Anolis sagrei: one gene and its partner. The protein of the gene in region 1 interacts with the protein of each later gene in a biochemical or structural test. Links are inferred from orthologs where the notes say so. Each region holds a gene or a part of one and is shown on either strand. Other genes may lie near its edges. The genes, in order: TAL1 and LMO2.

The links.
Region 2: the proteins of TAL1 (region 1) and LMO2 form a complex in vitro, tested with the Homo sapiens proteins (2 studies listed by BioGRID). The link is inferred for Anolis sagrei from reciprocal best matches to the Homo sapiens genes TAL1 and LMO2.

What each region holds. Positions count from the first base shown.
Region 1 is NC_090024.1:177,398,527-177,413,827, reverse strand, and holds the start of TAL1 (T-cell acute lymphocytic leukemia protein 1), read right to left. Parts: upstream 7,626-15,301; 5' UTR 7,474-7,625; coding exon 6,803-7,473; intron 3,679-6,802; coding exon 3,590-3,678; intron 1-3,589. UniProt on the Homo sapiens protein: Implicated in the genesis of hemopoietic malignancies. It may play an important role in hemopoietic differentiation. Serves as a positive regulator of erythroid differentiation.
Region 2 is NC_090021.1:268,075,092-268,090,227, reverse strand, and holds the start of LMO2 (rhombotin-2), read left to right. Parts: upstream 1-7,495; 5' UTR 7,496-8,055; coding exon 8,056-8,096; intron 8,097-15,136. UniProt on the Homo sapiens protein: Acts with TAL1/SCL to regulate red blood cell development. Also acts with LDB1 to maintain erythroid precursors in an immature state.

The DNA of each region.
Region 1 (15,301 bases):
CAAGAATTCTGGAAGCTGAAGTCCAAAACACCTGGAGGGCCACAGGTTTGGTACCACTGATCTATTGGGCCCCAAAGTTTTCAATTGAGGGTCCCATTTCAAGTTATTGTTCTACATCAGTGAAACCTTATCATCATCCTCACTTATACTTTCTTGAGTCCAGATCTAAATAGTATGTGGCTTGCCAAATGTTTTCCAGTTGTCCTCCATAAAGCCCAGTTTTGCTACCTAGTTGAGACTACAACAGAAAGGGCTGTAAAAAGTCTGTGTTCAGTTTGATGGAGCACGGGAGTGTATTATATAAAGTCCAGAAAGCTGCTATTTTGAGGTGGATGTTAACATCCCCATTTAGATGAAAACCAAGCTGAACACAGACCATCGGATGTCCAAAGAAACCTAAACTTCAAGGTAGATCCCCATGCCTCTAGCCAATGTGCCCTCATCTATATCTGCCAAAATTGGCCAGAATCTACTGGAAAATGTCTAAACTTCCACAGAAATACACCCTCTATTATTCCTAGAATCATAGAATCATAGAATTGGAAGAGACCTCATGGGCATCCAGTCCAACCCCCTGCCAAGAACCAGGAAAATTGCATTCAAAGTACCCCTGACAGATGACCATCCAGCCTCTGTTTAAAAGCTTCTAAAGAAGGAGCTTCCACCACACTGCTGAATGGCTCTCACAGTCAGGAAGTTCTTCCTAATGTTCACATGGACTCTCCTTTCTTGTAGTTTGAAGCAACTATTCCACGTCCTAGTCTCCTGCACAATCCTCCTATAAGTTGCCCCACCACCTTACTTAATTGAAAATGACTCATTTTCAATTATTTCATCCTTTCCATCCTAATAATTTAGAGAGTTGGGTGAGGGCAGAAAAAGCAGACGAATCCTAAAACTGAAAGTCTTGAAATCAAAACTTAATTAGAACCTCTACCAATTTGGCCTAATTCAACCCTAATCTATAAATAGCAACCTCTATAGAAAGATCTTGTGTCACTTCTATTTCTATTTCTATCTCTGTGGAAAAGCCATTGATTAAGTATGGTTCCTTATGACACCTCCTGGCAACTTACACCATTGGAATAATACTATGATAAAAACAATAAAAAGAATATATATATCCAATGAATGTCATAATGAGGATCTTTCTCAAAGAAGGATTGTTTATCAGTCGCTGTTTCACTTGGATGGCTATAACCTGGAAGTTGCTCTCACCTCAATCTGCTAGATCGTTAAGGGATGAGCTGGACACAGCTTCTTTGTCCTATTTTCCTCTCCTCTGCGACTCATTAGTCATTTTCTTATCTAGAGTTTAATACTGCTGGGCAGCTCCTCAGTTGCAGAAATTATGTACTAATAGCATCCACTGTTCTTTCTTGCAATCACCCCTCTACTCCATTTGTGAGTCTTTTCACACTAGATGATTATATTGGCATGATTTCTTTTTAACGGGCATGGCCCCATCCAATGGAATCCTGGATCTGTATAATTTGGTTGAGTCACTAGAGCTCTCTGGCTGAGAATAGTAAATATTTTCCTTAAACTATAAATCCCAGGATTTTACGGGATGTTGCCAGGATCATTACAGTGAAATCTCAACAATACAATTGTGTAGCGTGTAGAGATCTCCCATTGCAACAAGGAAATGAAAGAGATGAATTACAGGAGAAACCAAAGCCACCTCCTCCCAGTTTGGCACAAAATAGTATGGCAAGGTTGAAATCTTTACATCACAATCTGGCAAACCCTCTTGCACCTCCAACCCTGCCCCCAACAACCCACAGGCAACGCAGTTATGTTCTGATCTGCTTACAATATGTGCTTCACTTAAAGCTCCATTAAAGGAAATTTCATGACTAACATTACAAAAGTCACAAAGCACTAGATGACTATTGTCTTCTCTCTGTTTTCACAATCTTCATACTTAATCCTGAGCATGAACTGTATATACTTGAGTATAAGCCTAGAATTTCAGCACTTTTTTAGTCTGAAAAAGTCCCCCTCGGCTTATACTCGACTCAAGGTTATTTATTATTTCACTCTATTATTGTTGTTGTTGTTGTTGTTGTTGTTCATTCATTCAGTCGTCTCCGACTCTTCGTGACCTCATGGACCAGCCCACGCCAGAGCTCCCTGTTGGCCGTCACCACCCCCAGCTCCTTCAAGGTCAGTCCAATCACTTCAAGGATGCCATCCATCCATCTTGCCCTTGGTCGGCCCCTCTTCCTTTTGCCTTCCACTTTCCCCAGCATAATTGTCTTCTCTAGGCTTTGCTGTCTCCTCATGATGTGGCCAAAGTACTTCAACTTTGTCTCTAGTATCCTTCCCTCCAATGAGCAGTCAGGCTTTATTTCCTGGAGGATGGACTGGTTGGGTCTTCTCGCAGTCCAAGGCACTCTCAGAACTTTCCTCCAACACCACATTATTACATTTATTCTTTTAATTTATTGTTGTTGCTATTACATTTATTATTTTACTCTATTTATTATTGTTACTAGGCATCCCCTGCCACACGTTGCTGTGGCCCAGTCTGTGAATATGTGTTCTGTGTGTGTAAATATGTGTTTATATGTGGCTTTGCGCATGCATTGTAATGTATTTTTTTTGGCTTTTTAAGTCTCTTCCACTGTGATTTTCAGTGTTTTTATGAGTGATAGTCACTGCTTGGCCTGATAGCTGTATTGTGTCCATATTTGATGTCAATTCGTCCAGTGGTTTTTGAGTTATGTTAATCCCACAAACGAACATTACATTTTTATTTATATAGTTTGTTACATTTATTATTTTACTCTATTTATTACTATAATTATTACATTTCCATTATTTTACTCTATTATTGTTGTTGTTATTGCATTTATTATATGACTCTATCAAGCTCATTTACATTGAAAAAGGTTAGAATTATGGTTTAATCAGAGTTGGGCAGCCTTATCTTAAATTGCAGTTTTATGTAAATATTCAAAAAAATTAACCTATTGATGCCTCAATTAATGTAATTTTATTGGTATCTATTTTTATTTTGAAATTTACCAGCATTTCCCACCCTCAGCTTATACTCAAGTCAATGTATTTTCCCTTTTTTGTGGTAAATTTAGGTGCCTCTGCTTATATTTGGGTTGGCTTATCTTGAGTATATACGATACATAATCGTCCTTGTCTCCACTTCTGCTTTCCATCTTAAGACACACTAATAGCTAATTAGTACATACAAATGGCCAATCATTCTCCGCATATTGAAGAAAAATGGCAACAGTCATCCACACAACAAGGAGGGTTTGGAGTAACTCCAAAAATTGGTCAGTTATATTTTTAAATAATAAATGGATATTTTAATGAGAATTCTCAAAATGCAAGTAGTTTGAATCACCTGAGGAGAGGCTTAGAACTGGAGGAAGGGTAAAAGCGGACATTCTGGCTGACTACAACAAGAAGCTCCATGCTACAACAATTTCTGCAGGTCCCACTTGTAGGCTACTGCCTAAATTATTTCAATAATTTAGCAATAATGGGCAATGAACTGGCAGGTACAGTTATGATCCAAAAACCATCCTAACCCAATAGGAGGGGGGGGGGGAGAATTTCTCACCATCAGAGATCTCCACTTCATAGGGAGAAGGTCTTCTTTTCACTCGATTGTTGTACATTAGGTAGTTGTCTGGCTCTCCAAAAAAAACACTGTCAAAGAAAAAGCATAAAAACAACAAAATGAGTGAGGAAACCCAGGTGATCTAACTCAACAGACCAACACAAAAGTCTATGGGATGTTCTTCATTTAGTCCCTCCAAGAAACAACGCATATATGGAAAAGGCATGCCTGAGTGGACTGCATGAGGCAGGCATTTGCAATATGTGCACGCACAATGTAAATGCTCACACAGAGAGGCACAAAGAACCCGAACTGCAATTCTAAACTAAATTGTGAAGGTGCAATTTCATTGAAATCCATTCATCTTGTAACCCAAAGATTTTATGATTTAGATATCTTTAGTGCTGTTAAGGAATTCCTAAAGGAAGAATGAAGGCATAAATTGCAGCATTTTTAATTTAAAAAATACCACAGGGTTGTTTACCTGGCTAAAAGCATTTATTCCAAGACATTGGTGTCAAAGCATTGGCTAATCGTGCCAAAGTTGGCAAGGCCGTGGCTTTGCAAAGCTTTCAGGCACAACGTCAATGTTAATAGCCATAAAAACTACATGACATTCCTGTTGGTACCAAAAAATGGCATGGCATTTCTGCTACCATCCAAAATAAATGAAAACTTTTTTAAAAAAAAAAGAAGACCCTAAACAATAATTTAACCAATGATGACAACTTTGGGTTGCTGTGAGTTTTCCGGGCTCTTTGCTCATGTTCCAGAAGCATTATCTCCTGATGTTTCACACACATCTATGGCAGGCATTCTCAGAGGTTGTGTGGTCTGTTGGAAACTAGGCAAATGGGGTTTATACATCTGTGGAATATGAACAGATTTATAAACCCCACATAAAAAACAGAGTGAACACTCACTGTAGTTTCTGGAAATATTTATTTTCTCCCTAATTCTGATCTACTCCACCAGTAATGTATGTATGTATATATGTATGTATGTAAATGTGTATGTGTGTATCTCTGTGTGCGAAGGGAGGGAGGGAGGGAGGGAGAGAACAAGCAATATCTGTGTTACTACAAGCAATTTGTTATTACTACACCAGGACAAATCATTCATATTATCTGAAGGTACAAAAATGCTTTACCATTTTTCTAAGATACACATTTCCAAAATGAGCAACAAAGGAGTCCCCTTGCGGAGAGAGGGTGGTCTATAAATAAAGTTACTATTTATTTATTTATTTATTTATTTATTTATTTATTTATTATTTGCCTTATTTATACCCTGCCTTTCTCTACCCCAAGGGGGACTCAAGGCAGCTTACATATGGCAATTATTCAATGTCTTAACATATACAAACAGTAAATTTAAAATCAATTGAATTAAAATTAATGCATATATTGTTATTGTAATCGTTATTATTATTATTATTATTATTATTATTATTATGTTTTTAAAGATCTGCCTGGGAAGGTGGCTTGGTTTCTTTTCTTTCTTTTTATGCTATAAAGGATGACAACATAGATAGCTGCCTGCTTTTAGCTTTTGTCACTTCACCTGGCTTTGCCCTATTTTCTGCAAAAAAAAAAAAAAACTATTCCCTTTTGGCAGTTCGCTACCAAGAGGAGAAGGGTTTTTTTTTTTTCTGGGAAGGCCTGCTCTTCCTTTCATGCAACAGTGTTCCTGGGGCTCATTCCAACGGTGCTTGTATATCAGCCATCATAAGGAGAACAACCACAACCACAACCACAACAATAAAAGTTGTAACTGAGACCATGCAATGACAAGACAAGAAGGCACTGGGTTTAGACTTGTAGTACTGAAAAAAGGATACAAAAAGAAAGGGCCAAAGGAATCAGAATGGAAAAGAGAGAGAGAACAGAAGCAGGAGAATTAAGCTACAAAGGAAAGGGAAAGGACTAAAGATGGAAGAACTAAACAACATTGGAAAGGGAAGGGAAGGGAAGGGAAGGGAAGGGAAAGGGAAAGGGAAAGGGAAAGGGAAAGGGAAAGGGAAAGGGAAAGGGAAAGGGAAAGGGAAAGGGATCATAAAGGAAAGGAAAGAAGAAGGAAAAGGGGAAGGGGAGGGGGAGGGGAACAGAAAGGAAAGGAAAGGAAAGGTAGAGGACAAAATTGGAAAAAAAGGCAAGGAGAGGAAGAAATCGTTCGGACAAAAGACAAGACAACTATGCAAAATTGAGAAGGAAAAGACAAGAGAGAAAAGGAAATGCCTAAGACAGGAGAGGCCGGCTAAGCAAACTGGGAAGGGAAAGGAATGGGGATAAAAGATGAGACAACTAAGCAAAATTGTCAAGAAAAATACGAGAGCAATGGAAAGGAAAATAAAAGGAAAGGAAGAGGAAGAAAGGTCAAGAAGAAGGAAGAAACGGGTAAGAGAGAAGGCAAGACAACTAAGCCAAACTGGAAAGGCAAAGAGAGGAAAAGACAAGAAGAGAAATGAAGAAGATGGGAGGTGGAAGAACTAAAGAAAATTGGAAAGAAAAATAGAGGAAAGAAATGGATATGACATAAGACGGGACCACTAAACAAAAATGGGAAAGAAATTGAGAGCAGGGAAAGGAAAGGAAATGGAAATGGAAAAGGAAAAGGAAAAGGAAAGGAAGAATACAGGTAGAAATGCGCTAAATTGAGGAGGGGGAAAGGAAAGGAAGACAAAAGGTAGGAAAACTAAGCCAAACTGAAAAGAAAAATACAGAAAAGGAAAAAGACAGAAAGTGGGACGACTATGAAATTGGAAAGGGAAGGATACAAAAGAAAGGAAGGGAAAGGAAAGGAAAGGAAGAATACAGGTGGGACAACTGCGCTAAATTGAAAAGGGAAAAAAGGAAAGGAAGACAAAAGGTAGGGTAACTAAGCAAAACTGGAAAGAAAAATAAAGGAAAGGAAGAAGCCTTTCCTACTGCGAAATGGGAAAAAGAAGGGAGGAAAGGAAAGAGAAAAGGGGGCAGAAGACATGAGAGAGACAAAACGAAACTGGAGAAAAGAAAAGGGGTAGGACTCGACGGAAAAGGTGTCCTGGTCTCATAAGGAAAGCCCAGCGGCTCAGTCGGAGAGCGAGCGAGCATACGGCCAAGCGCAGGGGCAAAGGCTGGGCCGCTCCCCCTCCTCCTCCTCCTCCTCCTCCCTCCCCAAAGAGGGCCCGCCGGGGGATCGGGCTGCCCGGCTGGGAGGGCTTTGGGGACGGACCTGCTGGCGTTGGCGTTGTCGTTGGCGGCGTTGGCGGCGGGGGCGGCGGGGCCGAGGGGGGCTCCGAGCCCGTAAAGCATGGTCCGCGGGGGCGGCTGGAGCGGGAGGGCGGGCGCGGGGCTGAGCTGCACCATGCGGGCGTCGCTGCTGCTGCTGCTGCCGAGGTTCCCTCCTCCTCCTCCTCCTGCTGCTGCTGCTGCTGCTGCTGCTGCGTCGGGGGGCGTCCCGTTCCCGTTGCCGAGGGCGAGGGCCAAGGCGGGCGCGGTGTGGGGGCGGTCCGGGTCTGCTGCGGTCCGGGCGAGAATGGCGCCTCCGGCCGGGCCCCGGGCGGCTTTTATGGCTCGCCCTCCGCGCACCAGCTCGATCACGGGCACCGGGGCGGCGGGGGGGCCGGCGGCGGGGGAGGGGGGCGGCCGGCCCGTCTCCTTGGCAACCCCATTCAGCGGCGCCGGCTCCCCCGAGGGGGGGAGGAGGAGGAGGAGGGAGGACATCCCCCCGCCCCCGCCCTTGACGCCCCCCACGCCGCCCCCGCCGCCGCCGCCGCCGCCGCCGCTGCTGCTGCTGCCGGAGCCCAAGCCCACGTCCGGCTCGCCCAGGCCCTCGGCTCCAGCGCCGGCTCCGTGGGGCGCTGCATCCCGCGGCGGGTCACTGGGGGGCCTCTCCATCAGCATCCTGGGGAGACAGACAGAGGCGCAGAGTAGAGCGGGAGGCCGGCAGAGGAGGAAGAAGGCGCAGGGAGACGGAGGGAGGAAGAAGGGAGGATGGAAAAGAGGCGGAGGGAGAGGGAGAGGAGCCAGGAGGAGGAAACCTCACGGAAGGAAGGAAGGAAGGAAGGAAGGGGGGCCGGGAGGGAGGGAGGGGGGAGAAGGAAGCAGCCGCAAGAGGAGGAGAGGGAAAGTTAAAGCCAAAGGGGAGACGCGCAGAAGAAGCAGGGGAGGAGGAGGAGGAACACAAGACCAGTCAGCGCTTCAAACTGGGAGGGACGGGAATCTCCCACAAAGGACGCCTCCGTGCTCCGTGGTTGGTGCCATCGTCATCCGGGTCTCAAACTGGTTCAGGATTTCCGCACACCGAAACCACGTTCTTCCACGCCGGTTTGAAACTGCAGTCAATGGTCAGTGTAGAGGGGACGGGGACAAAGTTAAAGCCAAAGGGATGCACTTCTTTGGGCCGGGGGCTTAAGGCGGGGAGGGGAGGAGAAGGCCCTCGAGGCGGAGAGCGCAGGAAGGGCAGCCGGACTGAGAGCCGAGTGGGAGGAAGCCATCCCGGCCTGGCCCGGAAAGAAAGCCTTGTGCGTGAAAGAAGAGGCCTGGGGTTTGCGTGGAGGGACGAGCCCTTGGCTTCTTCCCCTCCGTCTCCCCCCTAGCACTCCTTTCACTCGGGGCCCTTCCACACAGCCCTAAAGCCCAGAATATCAAGGCTAAAAATCCCACAATAACTGCTTTGAACTGGGCTATCCGATAAAGTGGGTTTTCCTGCCTTGATATTCTGGGATATAGAGCAGTGTGGAAGGGCCCTCAGATAACCCACTTCAAAGCAGATATTGTGGGATTTCCTGCCTTGATATTTTGGGATATAGGTCTCTGCAGAAGGGCCCTCAGACATCCTCCACTACAGCCTGGAAGAATGGACAGCCATCACACCGCCTGGTTGGGTTTTCTTTGGAGTACATCCCAAGCCTTCCAAATTGGATGAACCTATTGATTTAATTGGGGCATTCATTCATTTCTAATATTTCTGTATCTTTCCTGGGCCAGAAGCGGGTGGGCGATGCTGATGTGGCTCTGGGTGTTTTGTGGCGGCAGAAGAAAATAAAGCATCCCCAGAGTCCATCTTTGGGGGGAAAGAGGAGGACGAGGAGGAAGATTGACAGCTGCCACTCCTACAGTCTTTCCAACCAACGTCGGTGTTAGAGATCACCAGGGACGCTCGGAATTATCCTTAAGATGTGGGAGAGGCCTTGACATTACTTACTTAGGCGATCCCTCGTTGTCCGAGTAGGATTGTCTTCTAAGATCAGTGTACTGGTGGTGGGTCCGTAGGTGACTGTGGAGCCCTATTCTTGATCTGCATGTTCTCCCACAGTGAGGGCATTGGCTTCCAGGTGGAAGGCCGTCTTGGCAAGTGTCTCTCTTTCGCCTTCCATTCGTGCCTCTTCAAATTCTACAGCACTGCTGGTCACACCTGACCTCCAGCTGGAGCGCTTAAGGGCCAGAGCTTCCCAGTTCTTGACATTAGCAGCCTCTTGTGTATGTATATATTACAAAATTTAAAAAATTCCAAATACATTGTATAAAACTATCATCGTGTTCTCATCTGACCGAAGTTGGTAACAATGGGGGTGCTATGAATATAATACCAAATGAATGACCACACAATCATCAGAGGGGCAGATGCATAGGAGTCTCGGTAGTCGAACTTGGCCTGCTTTTACTCCGAGGGAGGGATTGGAGCCCCTTCTTCCAGGCTCCATAGCAGGCCTGGGCCAACTCGGGCCCTCCCCCCAGGTGTTTTGGATTCCAACTCCCACCATTAACAGCCTCAGGCCCTTTCCTTTCCCCCCTCAGCCGCTTAAAGGGGCCTGAGGCTGTTAGGAATAGTGGGAGTTGGAGTCCAAAACACCTGGAGGGAGGGCCCAAGTTGGCCCAGGCTTGAGCTAGAATGATAATGCTTTCTCGAGCGAGAAATAATATAGCAGTCAGAACAACCAAAAGCGTTGAAGCGCAAACACTCCAGCTCGCCATTCTTAAGCTATTCGTTTTCTAAATGTACACAACTCCTGCCGTCACACATAGAGTATCTCGAAATGTTAAGACATCATTTTCTAGGCTCGATCTGGAGTTTCGAGGTCTAGATGACAGGAGAATCAATCGCGCAGACGAATCGGAAATCAGTGGCTCCCTTTTGATCCAAGATTACCCCATCCACCCCCACCCTCTTTTCCCTTTTTTCTTCCAAGGAATTGTGTTCGAGGAAGAAGGGAATCGATGGGAATTCGCCAGTTTAGCTCAGGGTTTTGCTCCTGGGATGCGCCACCCCGTCGGGAGGAAATTGGTTTGCTCCCATCCCATGGCAGGTCAATGAGAGATGGAGTCTCCCCTTCCAAGTGTGTTTCGGATTGCAGCTTTCGGCGGCCCTGTGGAGAAACGTTCCCATTTTAAAACCCTGCCATATAAACCCTCCAGAAAGAGGCGCCTTTGGAAGCAATTTACACTGAGCCGGATTGGCGAAGAGGCCGAAAGAAACCCTCACTGCAAATCGCTTCAGTGCAACGTAATTATTTCCGTGGGGTTTTTCTCCGCTGAGCTGCGGGTTGTTAATTTCACGCCTCGCTTCTAAATCCAGACAGCGCTTCGCTCCGCCGTGGAGAAAAAGGGAAGAGAGAGAGAAAATACAGAAAGGGAGAAAGATACTGGAGGACTGAACTCAGAAATCCCGGGACCATCGCCTTGGGGCCTTTCCGGAAGAAGCGAAATGACCCGGGGCGACTCCTTGAGAGTCAATCTGCATCTACACTGTAGAAAAACGCAGTTTGATATCACTTGAATGGTCCTTTTGCAAGGGCATTAGCCTTTTCACCTCTGCCAGAGAGCTCTGGAGTCCCCGGTGGCGCAGTGGGTTAAACCCTTGTGCGGGCAGGACTGAAGACTGACAGGTCGCAGGTTCGAATCTGGGGAGAGTGCAGATGAGCTCTCTCTGTCAGCTCCAGCTCCCCATGGGGGGACATGAGAGAACCCTCCCACAAGGATGGTAAAACATCAAAAACATCCAGGCGCCCTTGCAGACGGTCAATTCTCTCACACCAGAAGCGACTTTCAGTTTCTCAAGTCGCTCCAGACACACACACAAAATCCCCAAACTATAAATCCCAGGGTTCCAAAGCATTGAGCCAGGGCAGGTCAAGTGCATTCATTCTACAATGTAGATGAGATTTACTTATCAAAGCAGAAATCCACATTATCTGCTTTGAACTGGATTATATGAGTCTACGCTTCCATATAATTCAGTTCAAAGCAGATGATCTGGATTTTATATAGCAGTGTAGAAGGGGCCTAAGCTCTGTTGAACTGAATGGGCCTGACTTTGGGCTTCCTACAACATTGCTGTCTTTTCTATTCATCTGCAAACTTGAGACTTCAAAAAGACAGAGGTCAGTGCCTAAGGTGCCCCATCTATCACACAATGTTGTTTTTTGTGCGCCTTGCAATCGTTTCTGACCGAAGGCAAACATATCACAGGGTTTTCTTAGCAAGATTAGTTCAGAAGACATTGGCTTGCCATTGCTTTTCCCTGAGAACCAGAGAGTGTGACTTGCCCAAAGTCACCCAATGGGTTTCATAATGTTACAGCAAAGAAGCACGAATTTGAGAGAAGACAGATACCTTTGGAAGCTCCATAAAAAGATGCCCATCAAGAGTGAACACCTTGGGAGCAGGGAGAACCACACAAGTCACATGACACTGACAGAGCACTGTGATTCCATTTGAGCTGCCATGGTTCTGGAAACTGCAATTTAGGGAAAGGCTATTTGCAACTCTTAGCTACAGAATCCTCTACTACAGGGGCGTCAGACTCATCTTCATCAAGGGCCATATCAGCCTTATAATTCCCTCCAAAGTACCATTAAATCCATGTAGGGAGAATCCATGGATACAGAGGACCAACTATCTATCTATCTATCTATCTATCTATATCAGTAGGTAACTTCCTCTTTAAAGGTATTTTATTGCCCTGGCTTCTTGGCCACGTGGTCATTCTCCGAGAAAGGGCCCTCAGAGACAGACAACTCAAGTTAAAAAAAAAAAAACCCTTTCTCTGTGGTTGGCTCAACTAATTACTCTTACTGAATCAATGGGATTTATTCATATGCTGGCTCACTTCAGCCAGTAGGTCTGCTCTAACCAGGAGTGGCCAAGTCTTCAAAGGTTAAAATGACTATCTCAGGGCCCCTCTACACAGCCCTATATCCCAAAATATCAAAGCAGAAAATCCCACAACGTGTGCTCTGAACTGGGTTATCTGAGTCCACACCCAGATAAAGTGGGATTTTTTTGCCTTGATATTATAGGATATAGGGCTGTGTGGAAGTCCCTCAAGCTTCAAGGATTGTGCAAAGATTGCCATCTTATGCACACTTATCATTCATTTTCAATAAAAAAAAATGTTAAAATGTGTCCATTTAAAAGGTTTTAAAGCATGCTTAGGCTCTTTGTTTTTAAGGGGAAATTTCTATCTCTTAGAGATAATATAAAAACAGTGGGTTGGTCTACCACAATCTAGATGTGGATGTGATTTTGATCCCTGAAATACTTGATTCGAAACCCAGAACACACTTCAAAGTCAGGGGTTTCCCAGCTACAGCAAGCCCTGCCTAAACCTTACCATGTTGCAACAATCCCACTTGTTGGCTAGGCTTTTGGCCACATTTCAAAGTGCTGTTATCACCTATTTAAAAAAAAACCCCAATGTGGTTTAGGTGATGATAATCTGACAGATCCTATCTCTCCAAATGAGCCTGTCCTTGTTTTGAGACTTTCTAGGGGAGGTCATTCCCTGCCTCTCCTCCCCATATGGGTACATCTCAATGGGAAATGAACAGGGTCTTTTCAATTACAATTGATCATCTTGATTAGCCTTGCAGCTTCAAAGTTTGGCTGGTTGCTGCCTGGGGGAAATCCTTTGTTGGGAGGTGATTAGCTGGCCCTGATTGTTTCTTGTCTGGAATTCCCCCGTTTTCTCAGTGTTGTTCTTTTATTTACTGTCCTGATTTCAGAGTTTTTATAATACTAGTAGCCAGATCTTGTTCATTTTCATGGTTTCCTCCTTTCTGTTGAAATTGTCCACGTGCTTGTGGATTTCAATGGCTTCTCTGTATAGTCTGACATCATAGGAAGCAGCCAAGCTTTGAAACTGCAAGGCTATTCAATACAAATCAAGGTGATCAATTGCAACATTCACACTTGTCTCAAGCAGACAAGAGTTCTTTCTCCCACCCTGGACATTCCCCAGATATATAAACCCCACTTGCCTAGTTTCCAACAGACCTCACAACCTCTGAGGATGCCTGCCATAGATGTGGGTGAAACGTCAGGAGGGAATGCTTCTGGAACATGGCCATACAGCACAGAAAGCTCACAGCAACCCAATGCCTTGTTTGTTTACCGTTCCTGAACATTGCAATCCTGGAAAGCATTTCCAACAGTCAATTGTAAGTAAAGCAGGTCGTTTGGATGATGCCCCCTTGTCCCCAAGGGCCTTATGGGGAAAATATGATCTCTGAGGCCATTTACAAAGGGGCCACAAGGCAAATGAGTCCAGTATCGCTCAAATATCCCAACTTCGCATCTCGGTGTCGGAGCTGAAAAAGTCCTGCAGAAGAGGGGATCGTTATGTGTCTTTTCCAATGGTGTTAGAGTAGTTTTTCACTATTCCCCTCTTTGTCTAAACACCCATTTTTGCGGCCTTTCTCCTTGTCTCTTTGTCCTTCCCCTCTGCTGTTGCTCCCTTTTTGTGGTTTATGGGTGGAGTCTGGGATGTGTAGGGTCCTAAATTTAGCAAGAAATCTCCAATCTTTGGAGATTAGGGCGCGAGTATTGCAAAGTGTGTTGGCGATTCACACATCAAACAAAACCCTGAGTGGAAGCTTTGGAGGAACGTGGCTGCGTTTGGGGGCTTCCGGAAGCCGAGTGACTAGAGAAAAAAATCCACTTAAAATCCGGTTTCTGCCTCCTGCAGAATTCTGGGGTTTGTACTTTAGTGAGGCTGGTAAAGTCTCCTCCCTAAACTACAAACCCCAGAATTCTGCAGGAGGCAGAAACCGGATTATAAGTGGATTTTTTTTCTCTAGTCTGATAAAAGGTGGCTAAAATCGAGGTAAATACGTTCACTGGGGTAGGCAGCCACATTCAAACCCAGTATTAACAAGGGATGTAGGAATCCTACCCGGCCTGCCAAGATAAGCATCGCTCTCTCGCCTGATGTCTCTGTCTGGCTTTATTTCTCGTCTTAGAATCGCTCTCCTGAAGATAGAATCCAACCATTCTCTCCTAAAGCGCCATTTAAATTGGAAATGTCAGCACATTCATCAATTAGAAAATTAATTCCAGCACATTCATCAATTAGAGGATTAATTTTTAATGCGCGCGCAATCACACACCTTCTTGGACCCAATCAGAAACGACAGGTTGGGCTTGGGGTGACTCTCCAGTTTTTCAACAGGATTTGCCATCAATCGCAAAGAGGGGGGTATTATTCATCCCTGGAATCGTCTATTCCAGATACATAGTGCTAGCAAAACCACCTCTGGGTATTATTAGCCTCATCACGCTACAGAAAAAAATCAACTTAAAATCCAGTTTTTTCCTCCTGCAGAATTCTGGGGTTTGTAGTTTAGGGAGGAGCCTTTAACAGCCTCATTAAACTACAAACCCCAGAATTCTGCAGGAGGCAGAAACCGGATTTTAAGTAGATTTCTTCTCTAGTGTGATGAAGTGGATAGAATCATAGAGTTGGAAAAGTCCTCATGGGCCATCCAGTCCAACCCCCTGCCAAAAAGGAATTCAAAACACCCCTGAGAGATGACTATCCAGCCTCTGCTTAAAAGCCTCCAAAGAAAGAGTCTCCGCCACACTCTGGGACAGAGAGTTCCACTGCTGAACACCTCTCGCAGATAGAAAGTTCTTCCTAATGTTCAGGTGGAATCTCCTTTCTTACAGTTTGAAGCCATTGTTCTACATCCTAGTCTCCAGGGCAGCAGAGAACAAGCTTGCTCCCTCCTCCCTATGACTTCCCCTCCCATATTTTATACATGGTTATCATGTCTCCTCTCAGCCTTCTCTTCTGCAGGCTAAACTTGCCCAGCTCTTTAAGCCACTCTTCAAGGGGCTTGTTCTCCAGACCCTTGATCATTTTAGCCGCCCTCCTCTGGACACATTCCAGCTTGTTAACATCTCCCTCAAACTGCGGTGCCCAGAATTGGACACAGAATTCCAGGTGAGATCTGACCAAGGCAGAATAGACGGGTAGTATGACTTCCCTGGATCTAGATCAGTGTTTCTCAACCTGGGAGCCGGGATCCCTGGGGGGTCACGAAGGGATGTCAGAGGGGTCACCGAAGTCCATCAGACAACACAGTATCCTCACTACCTCTGAGGATGCTTGCCATAGATGCAGGCGAAACGTCAGGAGAAATGCCTCTAGAACATGGCCCTATAGCCCGAAAAAACCCACAAGAACCTACAGTATTTTATGTTGGTCATATGGGGGTTCTGTGCGGAAAGTTTGGCCCAATTCTATCATTGGTAGGGTTCAGAATGCTCCTTGGTTGTAGGTGAACTACAGATCCCAGCAACTGCAGCTCCCAAATGTCAAGGTCTATTTTCCTCAAACTCGACGGGTGTTCACATTTGGGTATATTGAGTATTCGTGCCAAGTTTGGTCCAGATCCATCATTGTTTAAGTCCTCAGTGCTCTCTGGGTGTAGGTGAACTACAACTCCAA
Region 2 (15,136 bases), on another chromosome or scaffold:
AAAGGAACTATAGATGTTGTAAAGAAAAGAGGGAGCAAGTAGTTAATTACTCATGGTGAGAAAGTAGAATTCAGTGTCATATTCATGAACAAAAAGAGAGATCTTATGAAAAGAGAAAAGTACACATGGAAAGTTATTACTTACACATTCAAAGCAAGAAGCGAAAGTTTATTTCTGGAAACCAAGCTTACACGGTAGTCTCTTTTTTTTCTCCACTTGAAAAGAGTAATCAGTTAATCCATGTCAGTAAAATGTTTATTTTGCTTCCTGTTCTTTTATCCTTTAGGAGCTGACATTGTGTGCAACTACTGAAAGCTTCAGGAAAGAGCTTATTTTAGATATGAATGGAAATTCCACTTAGAAAACTGTTGTTTGATTGTGGCTTGAAATACATACACCCTTGAATAAAGGATACACCCTTCTGGCTTCAGAACCCTTTATATACATCTTCAGAGGGTTCCTACTAATGCAATGTATTTTAATACTCCACCCGCCACATGAAACTAAGCTGTGTTTTTGTGTCACAGAGCTTCCATGACATTTGTCTTTATGCAATACCTCCTACATTACTATTGGTTTAACTAGCTAACATAAGTACATTCTCCAAATTTTTGAATATTTGATACTTCACCGTTCTGCAGTATTTTCCTCTCTCGTTTGCAGCATAGCATCACATGTATGAAATGAAAAGCATAAACATTGAGAGAGCTCTTTATAAATCAAAAGGGAGAAAGTACAATGTGGATATTTTCATGTGACAAAAAATATAGCGGAAGGTAAGAACCTCCATATTGAATTTTGTAGTACTGAAAGACTTATGAAAATTAATCAAGAGTATTCTAAAGCTTACAAAATGTCTGCATAGATAATCTCTGCTTCTGTTTTGGATACCAGTTATATGATTTCTAGATTTATTAGACAATTTTCCTGGGTTTGATATCTGAGGCCACATGATGTTTATCACTCAGGGATTACAGCAGCAACCATCTTTCTTGCAACATATTGCATTTGTATGTAAATGCAGTTATCTGAAATGTTTGCACATTTAGCTGCATATCATGGAAATCCATATCAGTGGTTCAGAATGGTTGTAGGTGTGTTTACAGGGAAAACACAAAGATTGCCCCACTTACTCATCAGTACAAGTTATGATAATGTACATCAGTGGTTCTCAACCTTCCTAATGCCGCGACCTCTTAATACAATTCCTCATGTTGTGGTGACCTCCAAACATAAAATTATTTTTGTTGGTACTTCACAATAGTAATTTTGCTACTATTGTGAATTGTAATGTACATATCTGATATGCAGGATGTATATTCATTCACTGGATGAAGGCACAAATACCCGATATGCCCAAATTTGAAAACTGGTGGGGTTGCGGGGGGTTGATTTTGTCATTTGGAAGTTGTATTTTTTGGGATTTATAGCTAACCTACAATGAAGGAGCATTCTGAACTCCACCAACAATGGAATTGAACCAAACTTGGCACACAGAAATCCTATGACCAACAGAAAATACTGAAAGGGTTTAGTGGGCATTGACCTTGAATTTGGAGTTGTACTTCACCTACATCCAGAGAGCACTGTGGACTCAAACAATGATGGATCTGGACCAAACTTGGCATGAATACTCAATATACCCAAATGTGAACACTGATGGAGTTTGAGGAAAATAGACCTTGACATTTGGGAGTTGTCGTTGCTGGGATTTATAGTTCACCTACCATCAAAGAGCATTCTGAACCCCACCAATGATAGAATTGGGCCAAACTTCCCACACAACCCCCATGACCAAAGGAAAATACTGTGTTTTCTGATGGTCTTTGTCAACCCCTCTGACACCCCCCTTGTGACCCCACTAGGGGTCCTGTATCCCAGGTTGAGAAACTCTGACATACATGTGTATTGTAAACAGTGGGGGGTTGTGGCCAAAAAAGTAACTTTCAGACAGTAAATTGTCTCTCTTAGCACTCTAATCTATTATATAGTGACAAGTCCTATACTCCATGCTCAGTGTTGTATAAAGCTTTTCAAGCTCTCTCCACTGCTCAAAACAACCAGCCTTATTAATCATTGGTACAGGAGCAGGCCCAGCATTACTGTTACTTCTCAGGTGTGATGCAGTGATTGGCATGGCAAGAGAGGTAAAAGTGTGGCTTTGGGCCGCTATTAGAAATGCCTGAGATGCTAGAGGCCTTTCACTGGCATTGTACACTCCAAACAGCATCGACTACTCACAGTCTCACCTAGGCAGTGCCTCCTTTGCAGTTTTAGGATGCATGGTTACTCCACAAGAGTAGTAACCAAAGCAGGTAGTGGGATAAGGCTCTCATTTATATATTAACAATATGAATGTGCTCTTCTGTTTTTGTCTGTCAGTTAGCTTATTTGACTTGTTTGAATTCTTTTATTAGTGGTACATGCATTAGTCAATAACAAGAAGCCATGCTGTAAATGATAACGTTCTTCTTTTCTATATATAGCCACTTGAATTTTATAATAAAAGCAATTTTAAAAACCCAAATAGATATGCTCTATCAAATAACACCTTTTTGTACATACAGAGATTTATTTATTTACGACATTTATATGCCGCCCTTCTCACCCCGAAGGGGCTCAGATAAAATAAGATGGGAAATAGAATGTATATTTGCATATTCTGAATCTGAAGGTATAATTTGTTTGACTTTGACTTCCTACCTTTGGCTTTTGGGACACAAAGGCTGTAAGCCACATTCCAACTATGTCTTATGAAAAGTAGTCCTTGGTGGGAATGGCATGGCAGCATCCATCTTCTCCTTAAGAAAAACTTGAGGATTGAATCATAAAATCATAAAAAATATATTAAAAAAAACATTGGAAGGCGCCCTGTGGGCCATCAGGTTTGACCCCTTACTCAGTGTGAGAAAGAAAGGACATAAAAGAGTCAAAAATAAAACCAAGACCATGGTTTCGATATGTGCTTTCTTCAAAGGTTAAAGAGGGACATTGAATATACATTCCAAGGATGGTTTTGGAGGACAATAAGTTGTTTCGTCTTGAGATGTTAAATTTTAGACATTGTTGAAACATCCATTGCCGAGAGACATGATGTTCAATGTCTAGCTGTGGCACCCTCAGCAGGTAGCTGTCCTCTTCTTGAAGACATCAAGAGAAGGAAAGCTCATTGCATCTCTAGGCGATTGGTTCTCTTTCTGAACTGCTGTCACTGCTGAGATGTTCTTTCTAATGTTAAATTGAAATCTTCCCTCTTGTAACTTCATACCATGAGACTTGGTCCTAAAGTCTTGGGCAGCAAAGAACAGACCTGCTTCTTCTTTGTGTCAGCCATAGAGGTATTTCAGAAATGCAAGCACATTATCCCTCAGTCTTCACTCCACCAAGATGAATATGCCCAATTCTTTCAACCCAGCTAAACACACCCAGTTTATATATATATATATATATATATATATATATATATATATATCTTTCTTTCTTTCTTTCTTTCTTTCTTTCTTTCTTTCTTTCTTTCTTGGATATATTTGTCCAGAAGGAGTTTGGTTTATAAATGGTTCGGGGCTAGGCTATTTGTCTAACCACATCTCCCTATATAGACCACCTCACACACTGCGGTCAGCGGAGGAGGCTTTGTTTTGGGTAATATCCCCCCCCCCCTCCAATAACTATGAATTCTCTGTTTACGTGAGACAACGTGTGTATGTTTTGGGGGGGAAGACTCCAAAACACACACACTATATTATTGTAAGAGTGCTATGTAGTTAGATCTTAGCAATTGGTCAAATTGTAACCCATGCATAGAGCAATCAGTCAGACATCCAGAAACCAGATATCGATATTTGTGTAATATTGGTGACAGCAAATCTGAATGCATTTGAATGGTCCCTTCCTTCTCCAAAGATTATCCATTGGAGATATAATCAAAGTTGAATAGGAAGAGCTTCCGGGTCAGAAGGAAGCAGGGCCGTAGCCAGAAAAATATTTTGGGGAGGGTTGAAAATTTCAGGGAGGGTTGAAAATTTCATGGGGGGGGGGGGTTAGGGTCACGCTGAAGCAAAGAGCACAGCAGGGGGCAGAGCAGCCTTCCATAGCCTGCAGCTCTGCCCCTGTCAACCACCTCCACCAAGTCTGGCATTCAGCCCCCCCCCCCCAACTTGGTTGCTTCGCTACATCGGCTATTGCTGCAAGTAATGACAGTGTGAATAAATTGTCAATATTTGCTTGAGATAGTGCTTGCAGTTCTGGAGGGACTCTTAATTTTTTGCATCTCATAGACTTAGCATTAGGATTTGGTTAACCAGTTAAAATTCATGAGTAAACCAGGTGTTTTTTTTAACTTGAAAAATTTCAGGGGGGGGGGGTTGAACCCCTACACCCCCCTCCACCCCGGCTACAAGCCTGGAAGGAAGTTACTGTTCTGAAAGTGTGACTAGTGACCTGCATTTTGAAAAGGGCACCAGGAAGGCAGGCTAAACCTAATTCCCTTTATAGCCCATGCCATGAAGGGTCTTTGTCCACTTGGCACCAATGCCTTTTGGAGGAGGCCCTGACACTTTGCCCTGAGATTCCCCTAGAGTTTGGACAGAAGCTGAAAGACAGATACAGTTTTAAAATTAGGCAATTAGAAATGATTCCACAGATATATAAACCCATTTTCCTAGCTCCAACAGACCTCACTACCTCCGAGGATGCTTGCCATAGATGCAGGCGAAATGTCAGGAGAGAATGCCTCTAGAACATGGCCATATAGCCCGAAAAAACCTACAACAACCCAATTAGAAATGCGCTAAATTTTCATCACCACCTGCTGCATTACATATTGGGGAGGACATATCTGCAAGGGGAATGGTACATGTCACCAACATTCGAGTGGGTTTTGATCTCCTGCTTCCCTTTGCTTAAGTAGCTGTAACTTATCCAGGAGCCACTGGAGCAGTTAATTCCCTGTCCCCGCCTGTACTTGAGAGACAGGCGCACCTCCAGCCTGGCACTGCTGTCACTGCACTTCTAAGGGGATTTCCACCACGAAGCAGATCTCGCTCCACGGTGTGAATTATCCTCCTGCCTCGCTGGAGGGGAGAGGTGAAGAAGGGAGCGAGGGAGAGGCTGGAAAAGATGATGAGATAGCGGTTTCTTTCCATTACTGGCTTTTATGTGCCTGCTCAAGCCTTCATCTGTATCCACATGAATGTCATTCTCAGATATTAGCTATCAGTCATATACGTCTACACTCATATCAGACTCTATTAGTCATTATTAGACATTAGTGTATATATTAGATACTATTAATCATATATATGCATATACATATATGCATATGTATACATGGGTGCATATGTGTATATATACACATACTCACACAGATATATGCATACATATACATATAATAAATATATATGTGTATATAATAATATCTAATAGTGACTAATATAATCTAATTCTTGTTTGCTTGAGACAGGTGTGAATGTTGCAATTGACCACCTTGATTAGCACTTAATGGCCCTGCAGGCTCAAAACCTGGCTGCTTCAAAATCTGGCTGCCAGTATTAAAAAATAATGTCCTACTAATAATGACTAATATGATTAATACTAGCTTGGGGACCCAGCGCTGCCCAGGGTTATTTGAGAAAGGAATTGTGTATCAAGGTTGGTCTTTCTCAGTTATTTATATGGCTCGCAATGGTCTCAGGAAGTTGGTGAAGGTACTGTAAGTCCCATCATCTCTGGTCCATCCTCCTCCAAACTGCTTCAGGATGGAGAGTGGGTCATAGGGGCTCTGTGTGCCAAGTTTGGTCTTGATTGGTCATTAGATGACTGTTGCAGAAGTCTTGGGAAGTGAGTGGAGGTACTTGAAGTCCCATCACCCATAGTCTGTTCTCCCCCAAACCTCACCAGAATATTGAGTTGGCCATGGGGGATCTCTGTTCCAAGTTTGGTCTTTATTGGTATTTGGATGAGTGTCGCTGTGGTTTCAGGAAGTGAGTGAAGGTACTACAAGTCCTATCATCCATCGTCCATTCTCCTTCAAACAGCACTGGTATGTAGGGTAGGTCAAGGGGGCTCTGTGTGCCAAGTTTGGTCTTGATTGGTCATTAGATGAGGGTTGCAGCAGTCTTGGGAAGGGAGTGGAGGTACTTGAAGTCCCATCATCCATGGACTGTCCTCCTTGAAAGTGCACCAGGATGTAGAGTGGGTCATGGGGGCTCTGTGTGCCAAGTTTGGTCTTGATCAGTCATTGGCGAGGGTCTCAGTGGTCTCAAGAAGTAAGTGAAGTTACTGCAAGTCCCATCATCCATTTCCAAATTTTTCCAAACTGCACCAGGATGTAGAGTGGGTCATGCGGGCTCTCTGTGTAAATTGTCATCCTGATCTATCATTGTTGGCAGTTGTAATGGTCTCAGGAAGGAAGTGCATGTATTGCAAGTCCCATCGTCCATGGTGCATCCTCCTCCAAACCACAGCAGGATGTAGAGTGCGTCATGGAGACTCAGTTTGCCAAGTTTGGTCTTTGTCGGTAATTGGATGATGGTTGCAGTGGTCTCAGGAATTGAGCAAAGGTACTGCAAGTCCCATAATCCATTGTCCATCCCCGGCCAATACCATAGAGAAATATAAATTGAAATTTTATACCAAAACTCCAACGTGGCTGTCACCCCTAGAAGCCTTTCAAAGATGAGAATTAGGCTGGCAAAAGTGGCCCACCTACAAAGATCTATTAAAAGTAGACAAAGGGAAGATGGTATTAAAGGAAGAAATTGCGATTAAAAAAAACTTTACTAACTATTCCTGGTTCCACAGCCAAGTTTTAAGTGTCTTGTGAAAAGTCAGGGAGGGGGCAGATCTAACTTCTTTAGGAAGGGAGTTCCACAACCGAGGGGCCACCATGGAGAAGGCCCTGTCTCTTGTCCCCACCAAATGCGACTGCGATGGTGGCGGGACCGAGAGCAGGGCCTCCCCAGATGATCTTAAAGTCCTTGATGGTTCATAGGGAGAGACACCTTTGGACAGGTAAAGTGTTTGTCACTGCTTAACAAGTAGAAAGGACAATGTGCAAATGGCTTAATGACTAGCCAAGGAGGAAGACAATAATTATTTGGGCAGAGAGAAGAGACATTACAATCCTATTTTGATGAAAGTCCTATCTGATAATAAACGCAACCCGGCCCCTAAAACCGATTCTACCTGTGTAGAGATGTGTATGCTGTCCCTGGGCAGAAGACAACTTTCCCTGTGCCCCGCTTGCCTCTTGGAGAGCCCGGCCTCGCTTCCCTCCCCAGAAAGCCCGCTTTCTTTCCTCCTTAGCAAAGGTCTGCGGCCCTTGAGTCCAGCGGTTACCCATACTATCAAGTAAAATATGAGTCCTAAATAACGAGATGCAACCACCCTGCGCGGCCAGGGCAGGGAAAGGCGAGCTCTGGCCCTTTAAGGCGCCCGCCTCGGTCGTCGTGAGAGATGCGTCGGCTGCAATTATTCCCGGGGGAAGGGAGGGGTGGGGGGCCAGGGAAGAAGAAATAGACAGCTGTCTCTTTAAAATGTCATTTCCTTCTATTGTATTGGAGTCGTGATCAGGAAAGAGGATGTGAAAGCAGAGCGGCTCGGAGGGAGGGAGGGAGAGAGAGAGACAGAGAGAGAGAGAGAAGGAAAGACACAGACACAGAGAGAAGAGCTTCAGAAGTGGGACCAGCAAGAAGAAGAAGAGGAAGAAATAGATGAAGGAGGAGCCGCTGTCCTGCTGCTGATGGTGGTGGCGGCGGAGAAGGAGGAGCAGCAAGGGATGCTGAGCGCTGCCTAAAGCAGCAAGGGAAAGAGAGAGAAAGAGAGGAGGATTCATCCCGGGATCGAAGCGCGGCAAGGACCAAGCGCCTGGCCAGGATGGGAAGCTGAAAGCCCGCCGGGCTCCCGGGAAGAAGGGTCTCTCCCCGAAAGGCCGCCTCCCCACGCCCCGGGCTCCTTTGGTCTGCCTGCCTGTATCCTTCCTCTTCTTTCTCCCTTTCCCGAAGGGAGCCCCGTGGATGTGGTCGCGGGTGGGGTGACCCCGAGCCAGAGCTGCCAATGTCCTCGGCCATCGAAAGGAAAAGCCTCGAGCCCTCCGAGTAAGTGGCCTTTCCCTCCTGCCTTCCTTCTTTCCTTCCTTCCCCCTCGCCTTTCCCTTTTTCTCGGGGATCTGGGCATACTTTGGGGAGTCCTACTTTGGGAGAGAAATCCCATCTTCTCCAGGGGGAGGTCCGCCCTTGTCCTGCCTAGATCCCCGGTTTTGGGGTCCTCCTTTGGCGACTGGGCTTGCCAAGTGCAGCTAGGGAAGGGAGCAAAGAGAAGGACGCATTCGGACCCCCTTTCCCCTCTTTCCTTCAGTCCCCAAATGCCTACGATTGCGGTAAGTTACAACTTTAGAGTTCAGGGAAAAGGGAAATGGAGTGGTTAAGGGAAAGCGAGGACCGCAAAGAGGACTTCCAGTGTGGATATATATGTGTGTCCCGTCAAGTTACCTGTCACCTTAGGGCGACCCTATAGGGTTTTATGCATTTTCGAAGGCTTTCCTGGCTGGAATTGCTGGGTTGTTGTAAGTTTTTTGGGCTCTATGGGTTAAAGCGCTGAGCTGCTGAACTTGCTGACAGGTCGCAGGTTCGAATCCGAGGACCGGAGTGAGCTCCCGCTGTTAGTCCCAGCTTCTGCCAACTTAGCAGTTCGAAAACATGCAAATATGAGTAGATCAATAGGTACCGCTCCAGCTCCATGGGTGCTCCATGCAGTCATGCCGGCCACATGACCTTGGAGGTGTCTATGAACAATGCCAGCTCTTCAGCTTAGAAATGGAGATGGGCACCAACCCCCAGAATCAGACAGGATTAGACTTAATGTCAGGGGAAAACCTTTACCATTACTATAGCCATGTTCCAGAAGCATTCTCTTCTGAATGCTATCTATGGCAGGCATCCTCAGAGAATGTGAAGTCTCACAACCTCTGAGGATGCCTGCCATAGATGCAGGCGAAACGTCAGGAGAGAATGCTTCTGGAACAGGGCGACACAGCCTAAAAACTTACAACAACCTTATAGGGTTTTCTTAGGCAAGGCATATTCTTCCTCCCTCTGGAATATAGCCTGCAGCACCTGGAATTCCTTAGTTTCCCCTCCAAGTTTCCCCTCCAAGTTTCCCTTAGTTTCCCCTCCAAGTCCTAACTGGGCCTGACCCTTTTGAGCCGAAGATCAGTGTGAATGTGGTGACTTTGTATGGCATTTAGGCCCTTTTGATGCAAAAAAGGCATACTGGCAAAAGCAAAGAGAGATTTGCAGCTATAGTTATTCTGGTGCTGGTTCAATAGGAAGCAAAAGTCTTTTGATGTCTTATGGGTTCCCCGATGAGAGAAAAAGTGGGGACAAGGAAGAAGAAGACATTTGGGTCAATGGCTCTCCTTTCCCTTCACTGTCATCCGCTGCCTTGGTTGAGAGATTCAGGATGTACCTAGAGTGTAGAATCCATGCACTTTGCCACTATTTTAACTGCCATGGCTCAGTGTGATGGGATCTTGGGAGTTGTTGTTTTACAAGGTCTTTTGCCTTTTCAGCCCAAAGAGTGTTGGTGCCTCACCTGACTACAAATCTCAGGAGTGCATAGCCTTGAGCCATGGCAGTTCAGGTACTGTCAAATGGCATTAGTACTATAGTAAAGATGTGCCCACACTGATCATTATGGAAGTGCTGGGTTGCTGTGGTATGATCATGTTCCAGAAGAGTTCTCTCCCGACGTTTCGCCTGCATCTGTGGCAGGCATTCTCAGAGGTTGAGAGGTCTTACAACCTCTGAGGATGCCTGCCATAAATGCAGTTGAAATGTCAGGAGAGAATGCTTCTGGAACATGGCCATACAGCCTCAAAAACTTACAGCAACCCAGTGATTCTGGTCATGAAAGCCTTCAACAAAATTATGGAAGTGATTTATGTGGATGGAGGTGAGGAAGCAGATCATAGTACTTTCCAAACACTAGAATTTGTTTTCAGGCTCTTTTTCCTCCTTCCCAGCCCAATTTAATAGGCTGACTTGACTAAAAGGATGCTATCAGATGATCAGATGTAGGGTCAACATCCACTTTTTCATAATTTATTTATTTATTGTGTCAGAAGCGAGTTGAGGGTACAGTTACAATGTATTTAAAAACACAAAGTTTTAAAACTTGGCATTATGCTAACTGTCCTTTGACCAGAAGCTGGCCTCTGGTGTCGCTGGGAGAAGGTCCTCCATTGTGCATGTGGCAGGGCTCAGGTTGTACTGTAGTAGGTGGTCTGTGGTTTGCTCTTCTCCGCACTCGGATGTTGTGGACTCCTTTGTAGTCCCATTTCTTAAGGTTAGCTTAATAAAATTCATAATGCGAGCATCGGGTCACAACAAAACCTTGATCACAAGTGCCTCTGTGCATCAGCCACAACAAGAGCTATACACTGTGGAATTAATGCAGTTGAAAACTACTTTGACTGCCATGGTCCATTGCTATGGGATCCTAGGAGTTGTATTTTGATGAGGTGCTAGGACTTTTTGGCAGAAAATATTAAAGACTTTTAAGTTTAATTTTACTTTGGGAAGAAATGACTTGGGGCCATGGTGGCGCAGTTGGTTAAACCACTAAGCTACAGAAATTGCTGATCAGAAGGTCGGCGGTTTGAATCCACGGATGGGGTGAGCAGTAGCCACAGATTCTGCCAACCTAGCAGTTAGGAAACATGTAAATATGAGTAGATCAATAGGTGTCACTTCTGTAGGAAGGTAACGGCACTCCAGCCGTCATGCCAACCATTGGGTGAGCTCCTGCTGTTAGCTCCAGCTTCTGCCAGCGTAGCAGTTTGGCAACATGCAAATGTGAACAGATCAATAAGTACTGCTCCAGTGGGAAGGTAACAGTGCTCTATGGAGTCATTGCCCTTAGAGGTGTCTACAGACAATGCCAGCTCTGCGGCTTAGAAATGAAGATGAGCACCACCCCCCAGAGTTGGACATGACTAGACTTAATGTCAAGAGGAAACCTTTACCTTTACTATCCATATTTTACTTAGAGATAATTGATATAATGTTTAGTGAGGCTTGCAATTAAATGTAACCTTTAACATGCCTTGGGTGCATCTACTCTGTAGAATTAATGCAGTTAAACACTACTTTGAATGCCATGGCTCATTGCTACAGTCCTACCAAAGTAATATAGGCACATACCATTTTATATCTGTAGAGATATTATACTTAAGGCATTACTTATGATATAACTGAATTTGGGTTTTATGGAAACAAACCTTCTATATATTGTACATAGGGATTAAATCCTGTTGAGCTAGTGACTAAGATTCACACGACTCTGTTTATGATGGTAGCATTTTATTAATTTTACTAGTTCCTTCTCAATATTATAAGCAGTGGAAATTGTCTATACACTATCAGCCCTTGTATCAGAAGAAATACAAGATATAAACAAATAAATGGTATATATGTCCTAACTTTAAACTTTGCATTTATATATTTGTTCTATGTCCTGCTTCTATAATAATAATAATACTTTATTTGTAACCTGCCCTATCTCCCCTGGGGGACACAGGGCGGTTCTCCTCCCATGAATGGAATTTGGGGACTGCCATTGTATTTAATGTGCTTTGTTTTTAATCTGACAATGATTCCCACATGGCCTGAGGAAAAAGTAGGCTGTGTATTGAAACAAAAGAAACCTACATGTTGGGACAGACGTATCTTAGAAAGCCTTCGATCCTTGTCCCAATCTTTTTGAGACACAGATTCTATACTGAAAGTATGCTAGAGTGCACGTGATTGGGATCAGTTGTTGGAACAAGTTTTCAAATATAGATAATATAGGGACAAAATATTATGGACTTGTGACAATTGTTCCTGTTTTCCGTAATACATCAGTTTTCATATCCCATAACACTTTGTAACATGATTTTTGTTCCTGGGTTATAAATGTCACTTCCTAATTGGTTATATCTTAAAAACATGGAAAAAGTTTATTAAATTGTCAACACTTTGCTTTTGCAGGACATCCTGCAGCCTATGTTGCTATAGTTTTTCAATGAATATCTCCTTGAGTTTCAATCAATTCAACATAGCTAGTGGCAGCCACAAAAACAAAGTTTCCAGAGTATAACAACTACTTCCAAAGTAATTACTGCACAATTAAACAGGAATAACACTGTTTTTTTTCCCTTTCAAATTTTGTTACTTTTCACTCTTTGGGGAATGAGTCTTTATACCCCAGTTCCTGAGTAGAGTGGTCCATACATTGGATTGCCATTAAGTGTGATACTTCTGTTGCACTACATACATCTAATGACTAACGGTGCAGATGTCATTCCTGAAAGCAAACACAATATTATGGGAATTTAATTTTTTTTAATATCCTGATTATTATGGTGTAAAACTGCTGCACAAACCCAGACCGTTCGAGTCTGAAGAAACTGGGAGTGTACTTCAAACTTGATAAAGATAGATTTGCTCTCAGAGAATTCTACACCTTTTTCTGTTCCTTAGCTATTTATATATGCCTGGGGGATGTCTGCATTTTGGTTTCATTACCTGAGAAAATGCTTTTCTCATTCCTACAGATTTTAAAGTATAATGAATATTTCATGTCAAGAGGTGGCAGGTGGGGGAAATAAATGTTCTGTTTGACTTAACTGTCAGCTGGAGAAGTGATAGCAATGCTTTAAAACTGTGGGATGGATTCCTGTGTTTGGTGGATTTTGGTTTGGTCCTGCTCAGGAGGAAATGGCGATAGATTTTACTTTTATTGTTCATATATATTTATTGTTTTGTCTTTGGTGATAGACAAAACTAGACTATACAGCAACTCTAAAGGGCAGAACTTTTCACCTGCTCATTTCCATTATTATATAGTTATGAGTTTAGGTTGGAGATTTTTCTTCTATGGGATTGAATCTGATCCGTCTGCTAAACATAATTATCTTGCATGTGTTGAAAGACAGAAGCGCTGTGGTTTTTCCTAAAAAAATCAGTTAATCTTGGCAAACTTTATATAATATGATTTGGAGTAGTTTAATCCTTTTTCTTTATCTTGGAATTCTGTCATGTATTTTTGAGGTGATACACACTGGAGAGCTATAATGCTTAAGTATTTCTCCAGATTAATGCAACCTTACCTCAGCTGTTATTATTGTATTAACTTGAATCTAATGCTCATCTTTTTCTTTTTTCTTTTTTGGCTAAATTACCTTGCCAAAACTGGGGTGCATATTAGATTTGTGTAATACGGTAATCCGAGTGCTGAGCCACGGAAAAGGGGGAAGCTGATTCAGGAGGTGCACCTGGACCTCCTCTTTGAGGGCTGTCATCTCTAATGAAAGGCCAGGGCTCAATGTTATGTGATCCTGGGATTTGTAGTCTGGTGAGGCATCAACATTCTTTGGCAGAGAAGGCTCAAGACCTTGTAAAACTACAGCCCACAAGGTCCCACAGAATTTGAACCAAGGCAATTAAAGTGGATTCATTCTACAGCATAGATGCACCGCAAGGTTTTCATTTCCATTGCTGGAAACTTTGGTGTTCTAACACAATTGTTTATAATAAAGGAATTCTAAGCAGGCAACAACAATAGTAATGAACACATTTTTTTGGCCAAATTACAAAGAGCACATTTTTTGCCACATGTATACACACACACACACACACACATACATATATTATTTATTTATTTGCAGTATTTATATACCGCCTTTTTCACCCCTGGGGGGACTCAAAACGGTTTACACATAAATAATGGCAAGATTCAATGCCTTATATTGGGCACCTATATGATGCCAATACAAACAATTACAATAGTAAAACCACAATTAAACATAAATCACTATTTAAACAATACATCAACAAGCATTAAAACAATAAAACAGTCTCATCAGTCAAATCACCGTTCCAGTCAATGTTCCTCTAAAATGCTACATACATCTACTGTCCTATATATATATATATATATATATATATATATATAGGTTTCAGGGTTTTGAAAATTGTGGTGTGCATTACATCCAATGGCACATTAATAATAATAATAATAATAATAATAATAATAATCTTTATTCCCACCACCACCTCCCTGAAGGGACTTGGGGAGGCTCACAAAAGCACTCAGAAGTGCAACACACATAAATACATAAGCATTTAAAACAATGACAATATAAGTTTCACAATAATTTTACATAAAACATCATATAAACCCTTATTGATTTAAAATTCCATAAAACGCTGTGGATATAAAATAGGCTGTATTCAAGTATCAATCCCATAAAGTGCCAAAGTGAAACAAATCACCAGGTCCTCGAGTTTAACAATTAACATACTAATCATGGTTGAGGGCCTGTTTAAAGAGTCATGCTTTCAGATTAGCCCCCACTCTCTCTAGGAAGGGCATTCCAGAGCTGGGGGGCCACCACTGAAAAGGCGCTCTCTCTCTCTCTCTCTCATCCCCACCAACCACACTTGAGATGGAGGTGGGACCAAGAGGAGGACCTCCCTAACAGATCTTAGAGACTGTGCCAGTTCATAGAAGGATATGCGTTCTCGAAGATGCATTGGGCCCGAAGCACATACGGTTTTATAGGTGATAACATGCACTTTGAATTGGACCTGGAAACTTGCCGACAGGTGGAGCCGCTTTAATAGGGGCTTAGTATGCTCCCTATAACTAGCCTCAGTTAGTAATCTCCCTATAACTAAGCCTCAATTAGACTTGAGTAAATATGGGTATTACAAGCAATTGCATAAATAGCAGCTGTTGTGACCTACTAGTGATCAGAGATATAAAAATAAAGAATGGACGTGTGAGTGGAGAGGGCAACTTTTTCAAAGTTAATGACAGGTAATGTTCAGCTGGTAACTATCATGTTATCCTGGCCATTGATGGTATGCATCAGAGAGAGGGATCGCTTCACAACCTCTTAGTGGAAACCAGAACTACCACTGTCTGCTGTTTGCCTGCGGAAAATGTTCTTCCTTAATATTTTATATCCTTCTCAAATATTAACATCAAAGATTAGCTCAATTGTAGTTATATATAATGCCAAATGTAAAGGACACTGAGTTAACATTTAAGGAAATGTAGTGAGGGATACATAGAGCAGAAGGTGGGTGGA